Linked DNA regions of Mus musculus: region 2 is reported to be linked to region 1. Evidence: microRNA targets listed by miRTarBase, many of them from high-throughput screens and not tested one by one. Region 1 holds a microRNA gene; the other region holds the end of a gene's coding sequence.

Evidence for each region. Region 1 holds the annotated microRNA mmu-miR-3087-3p (UAACUCACUGUCAUGUCCUCA, at 1,581-1,601, opposite strand). A microRNA usually pairs through its seed, bases 2 to 8, with sites in the 3' UTR of a target mRNA and lowers its output. Matches are read on the target gene's strand: a 7mer-m8 pairs with bases 2 to 8, a 7mer-A1 pairs with bases 2 to 7 and ends in A, and an 8mer does both.
Region 2: miRTarBase lists Uvssa as a target of mmu-miR-3087-3p. Seed matches in the 3' UTR shown: 7mer-m8 at 2,119-2,125.

Annotation. Positions count from the first base shown.
Region 1 is chr2:25,441,289-25,444,413 of GRCm38, reverse strand. It overlaps Mir3087 (microRNA 3087), which reads right to left and starts at 1,635; the gene lies at 1,580-1,635. Abca2 (ATP-binding cassette, sub-family A (ABC1), member 2) reads right to left here. Exons shown (of 49, transcript NM_001368624.1): 25 at 3,042-3,125; 26 at 2,815-2,935; 27 at 2,303-2,539; 28 at 2,017-2,223; 29 at 1,662-1,764; 30 at 1,260-1,579; 31 at 972-1,185; 32 at 780-885; 33 at 577-688; 34 at 427-487; 35 at 170-344; 36 at 1-89.
Region 2 is chr5:33,414,448-33,417,522 of GRCm38, reverse strand. Uvssa (UV stimulated scaffold protein A) reads right to left here. Exons shown (of 14, transcript NM_001081101.2): 14 at 1-2,725. The coding sequence ends at 2,632. Among named protein-coding and RNA genes, the nearest start is that of Nkx1-1, 18 kb to the left of the region's middle.

The DNA.
Region 1 (3,125 bases):
GCGGGGAAGTTGGTGGGTGATGTGTAGGCAGGTAAGTCAAAGACAAAGAGGATGATCACGCAGCAGGTGGCTGGGACCAGGTAATTGAGCTGCAAAGGTGAAGGTGGAGGATGAGACCCGGGCGTAGGGATGGGAGTCAGGGACAGGGAGGGACCATGCGGGGGCACACCATGTCCCACACGTAGTTGGCCAGCCAGTAGATGACAGGGTTGCACCCGCTGACGAACTGCAGGTGTTTGGCCTTGGTGGATTTCTCTGCCACAAGGAAGACCACAAAGCTGGCTGGCACGAAGGACATGGCCACAATGATGAAGATGGCGATGACCACATCTGTGCCCTGCAGTCTAGAAGGGGACAGCACTCAGTTCCAGGAGGTGTCAGGACGAGGTGGTCCTGCCCCTCCTCAACTTGGTCTGCCTCACTCACAGGTAATCCAGGGAGAGGCTAGCACTGGTCTTGTTCATGGGGTGGTTGGTGACGGTGATGCCTGCACACGGGAAAAGGGTAGCTTTAGGTCCATGCAACCATTCGGCTCAGCTGCATCCCTGCCTGTCCTTCAACCCTGATTCTCCTTACCATAGGCTGCTGGATTGCCCTTGCTTTTGGGTAGGTTTGCACGCAGAATGGCATTGTTGAGGCTGTTGAGGTAGGTGGGCATGCTGTGGTAGCCCTTGTTATTGTAGAGCACCTGGGGAGGGGCAAGGACCTCAGAGAGGCTCAGAAACCAAAAGTTATTAGGCTTAGGACCAGGTGCCCAAAACCCAAGGGCAGCCGCCTACCTGAGCCACCCTCCGCACTGCAATCTTCCGCACCATAGGAGGGACCCGGGCACCAAAGGATGCTGGGATAGACTTCTGAACATTACCAAAGGTGATGGCTCCATATCTGTACAAGACAGGTGGGAGGGTCACTGAGGCTCGGCAGCCATCTGCCAGGCACCCCTTGTTCACAGCCACTTCAGGCCAACTTACCGGTGTAGTCGGAAACGGTCAGAGGTGAAGAGCAGGTACTCAGAAACATTGTGGCCAGTGATGTCAGTCAGGATGTCACCTGTGACCACTCTCATCTGGGGTGGGTGTCCACCCACACTGCTGGGGCATGAGAACCCCGTGCCCTGTGCAGAGCAGGTACAGCGGACTGGCTCATGCACTAGGCGTGGCAGAGAAGGCGCCGACGTCCACGTCTCTGTGGGCACAGTGCAGCACAATGAGATGGGTCACTCATGCCTGTGCCCCCCGGAGCCTTCCCTGAGGTAGTACCTGGCCCAGCAGTAGGTGGCAGGGACATGTTCCAGGCTTGCAGTGAATCCTCATCTGGGGACACGGGTGAGTCAGAAGGGGCGGGTGAGGGCGGAGGTGGCACGAAGTTGGACAGTGGCAGCCCCTGTGTGAAGGACTCCAGGCACATACTGTCGAAGAACCGTGCCGCCAGCAGGCGGGACTCTCCACTGCTTAAGTTCAGCATGGGTCCCAGGGAGCCGTTGGCAGGAGACTTGAGCACACAAGTGGCACCCACACCAGAGGGCAGCCGGAATGTGCTCACCAGCTGCTGGGGGCTGGCATCAGGTGACAGCCGTAATCTGAGGACATGACAGTGAGTTAGGAGCCATAAGTCTCAACTCTTGCCCTGCCCTGTGCTACAGCCCCAGCCCACGGCCTCACCGGTACTCCTGGCGTTCCTCATTGGCATAAGGGATAAAGTTGCCACGGGGCTGGGTGTAGTTGTGGTACTGAGAGGGTGACAGGACCAGTGGAGGTAGGTCACCTGATGGGTGAATACGGAGACCTGAGCAGACTGCAGTTATCTGATGCCAGCCCCAGCCCTAACACAGAGAGGGCTGAGCTTGTGGGGATGACTCCTAAGGAGACAGATCCTCTCATGAGCCCCTGAGTAAGGTTCAGAGTGTGAGGAGAGGAGCTCAGGACTGTTCTACAGGGGGCTGGGAGAAAAATGAAGCCAAGACCCAGGGGCAAGACAGTAGCCTCGCCCCAGACCACATGGGCCAGGCACCCTTACCAATCTCAGGGACAGACAACGCCACAGTCATGGCCACACAGACAAAGAAGGCAGGCAGCAGAATCTGAGAGCAGAGAGCTTTGGAGTTCCGACGAGCACAGTGGAAGCGCTTCACCAGGAGCCCATGGAACTGCCGCATCTTCAGCCACCAGCCCTCGAGTTTGCGGCTGCCCTGGCCCACCTGAGCCAGGGCCTCCATCTCTGCCTCTGTGCAGAGAGGCAGAGGTAAATAGCCAGTCCCACGCCACCCTTCTGGACCCTCCCCAGTTTCCCCATTGGCTTCCACCTTGTAAGCTGACATTGTCTGGGTCCTGCAAGTTGTCAAAGAGGGGACGGTAGTCACCGTAGCCATCAGAGTAGCCGGTGCCCTCCTCCCCACGGGCAGAGCCCACAGAGGATGCAGACTGCAGCGATGCCTGTGACTGTGCCAGCTCTGAGCACCGAGCCAGGTTGCCAGCTTGACCCCCCACAGCTGTCAGGCCCTCTGCCCCAGGCAGCACATCCTTCCGGGACTCCTTCACATCTGCAAACAACAGAGGCGGTGAGGGAGGGAAGGCTTGGGCCAAGGCTCTCCTCTCCAGGACATCTTAGTACCTCAGTCCCTAGTGTCCTCCCATAACCCCAGGCCCTGCCTTGATCCCAGCCTCTAATTCACATACCTACTCACAGGTAGGCAGAGCTACCATACCATCCACCACGAGCCTATCCTGACCCCACTTCCAGAGACTTACAGAGAAGCAGTGTCCCCAGGGCCTTCTGTGGGTAGCTGGACAGACCGCCAGCCTTGGGTGCTCTTACCAGCCTCGCTGTTCTCCAGTGACTGATCTTCTTCAGACACCTTGAGGAACACCTCCTCCAGAGTTGTGTCCATCAGCCCAAAACTGCTCAGATGGAGCGCATCCAGGCTGTGTTCCAGTTGCTGCAAAGAGATCGGGTAAGGCAGCGCCACGGAACGCAGGCAGCGACGTGTCCTTCTTCTCTCCGGGCCCCTCGTGTCCCTAGCCACCACAGCCAGCCCCACACACCTGAAAGAGGCGCTCGAAGGCCCCCTTCTTGACGGCCTCGCTGGGCAGGATGTAGGAGAGCTCGGTGCTCGTGTCTGAGACCAG
Region 2 (3,075 bases), not on the chromosome of region 1:
CCTTGTCCTTTTTCCTCTCTTCAGTCTAAAGAATTGCTTTTGGTATCCTCTCTAGGACCAGTTTGGTGGGCATGAATTCTTTTGGCGTGTTTATACCACAGAGCATTTTCCTCTTTCCTTCAACTATGGCAGGAAGTTATGCTGGGTACAGTACTGTAAGTTGGTATCCATGGTCTTTTAGACCTTGAAGTACCCTGGTCCAGACTCTTCTGCCTTTTACAACTTCCACTGGGAATCAGCTGTTGTTTTGATGGGTTTCCTTTACATGTTCCCTGTTCCTAGTCTCTCTAGGACTTTTATTATTTTATTATATTGGATTTTGTCAAAGGTGTTTTCTGCATCTATTGAGATAATCATGTGATTTTAAAAAAATCCTTAAGTAGACACTATTTAACAAAAGTCCATGTATACGAACAGGAAATCTCCTAAGTTGTGGCCAGGGAGTTAAGAGACTATCAAAATGACATAGGTGAATGTTGTTGCCCTTAGCTGCCTCCCAGAACATGACGGTGAGAATGACTGCTAAAGATAACAGCAACTGTCTTCATATGTGATGACAAAGAAGAGATCATGAATTTGAAAAAAGGGCATGGGAGAACCTGGAGAAGGCAGGAGAGGTGGAAATGATGTGAGCACAGTCCTCTTGTATAGAATTCTCAGAAAAGCAAAAGAAACAAAGACACCAGTGATGGCATGAAGCCCTCAGGAAGCAGAGCAGAGTGAGTGTAAATGGTGCAGCCACCATCCAACAGCTTAGCCCCTCACAAGGAGGTTACTATACGCATCGGTGATGTACAGAAACAGTTGTCCACACACAAAAAAGCACAGATATTCACGGTAGCCCTAAGGTAGGAACAGACCAAACATCAATAACAAATCCATGGAGACAGGCCATGGTGGCGCCTTTAGTCCCGGGGCTTGGGAGGCAGAAGCAGGAGGATCTCTGAATTGGAGGCCAGCGTGATCTACAAAATGAGTTACCGGACAGTCAGGGTTCCAAAGAGAGACCATGTCTCAAATGAGAGGGTGGGTGTGGCAATGACAAAATATGACTCCATTCACTGTGATTTTGTGTGTGTGTGTGTTTACCTATGTGTGGGCAGATGTCTATGGGCATATGTGAATTTTCATATTATAGGCCAAAGGTTGTAGTTGAGTGTTTCCCTTCACTGTTCTCCACTCTATTTACAGAGGCGGAGTCTCTTGCTGAATCCAGAATGCACTGATTTTGGCTAGTCTCCTTACTGAGTTTGCCCCAGAGATCCTGTCTCCTCTCACCAAGGGCAGGATTACAAGCAGATTACCATAACCACTTGACTTTTATATGGACTCAGTCCTCATAATTACATGCAAGTGCTTTACCTGCTGAGCCACCTCCCTTGTCCTCTGCTGAGGTCCGTGTGTGTAAGAAGCAGGACTGAAGGACTGCTATCACAACATGGAAGAAACTTCAAAGGCAAAGAAGCTGGAACAGAAGGGCATACTCAGCCAGGAGCCATCGTACACGCCCTTAATCTCAATACTGAAGAGGCAGAGGCAGGAGGATCTCTGAGTTGGAGACCAGCCTGGTCTACACTGTGGGCTCTAAGACTGCCAGAGCTACATAAAGAGACCACATCTCAAAACAAAAACAAAAGCCGCAGACCCAATTACTCTAAATGCATAGGCATGGAAAGAGAAAGCGGGCTTCGAGGTGGTCAGGCAGTTTGTCTGAACACTAAAGTTCTGGAAGCCAGTGGAGTCACTTGTTATACACTGTGCATAACCTGGGTGACTACATGGTATGTGAGTTAGGGCTCAACACACCTGGTCCAGAGTGGTGCCAGGAGCTGGACATGTGTATTAAACAGCATATGCATGAAAGGGTGGATTGCTGAAGGCATCATAAAGTACATAGCACCACTAGGGACACACTTACTGCCCAAGGGCTGGCCAGATGGAGTGCCTGCCCCTATCCAACTCCAATGCAGGTACGTCATCCTGAAGGGATATTTTTTTCCCTCAGAGACATACTCTGCTTATGTAAGTTTGGCTGGCTTAGAATTTACAACTTAGACTAGCTTAGCTGTTTGTTTGTTTTAAAGACAGGGTTTCTCTGTGTAGCCCTGGCTGTCCTGGAACTCACTCTGTAGAACAGCCTGGCCTCAAACTCAGAGATCCACCTGCCTTGCCTTCTGAGTGCTGGGATTAAAGATGTGCCTACCATGCCTGGCAACTAGGTTAGCTTTGAACTTGTATTGATCTTCCTGCCCTGCCTGTTAAGTGTAAAAATTACAGGTGTGCGTCACCTCATCTGGCTTTTTGTTCTTGTTTCTCAAGCAGTCTTGCTCTGTTATCCATACTGGCCTAGGATTCAGGTCCTGTTTATGTCCAAGTGCTGGGATTACAGGTGAGGTACCACATGTGTGGTTAAAATGGTTGGGAATCAAACCCTGGCCTCACCACTAAACCATATCCCCTGGCCTCCTGGAGAGTATTTTAATGCATCACTACATTGTTACATACAGAAAAAACAAGCTCTGATTCTACTCAGACTTAAGTCTATTCTCCTTCCTATCCTAGTAAGCTAACGAACGGAGAAGAGCTGACGGCCAAAGGGGACCACAGCATATTCAGCACACCCACACCCTTTTACTTCAGCGCATAATTAAATTGGTTTGCAAACTTCTCGTGTTTCTTCTGGTCCATCTGGTTCATGGCAGCAACTACTCTCTGCACGGCTGCCCTATGGAGAGAGAGCACAGTAAGAAGTGACAGGACTTGACAGACTTGACAGGACTCTGGAGTCCTAGTTTGGCTTGCTGCTTCTGGACCTCATAAAGGTTTCCAGTGGAACTTCTGTAAGGTAGTGCTCAGACAGAGCAGGGGAACCCGGTCTGTTACCCACCACAGGTCTTGGCTATGTCTCCTTGCAACTGAAGGCAGTTGCAAGACCCCATGCTTGCTAATCCCAGGCTGCACTCTAGGATGAAGGCACAACTGAACATGGGTTGCAGGTCCAGAGGTAAGGGCCCCAGAAAGGGCTGTAGGAAAAAGCAGGAGGCCTATGTGGACCAGCCTCCACCCCACCCCAAG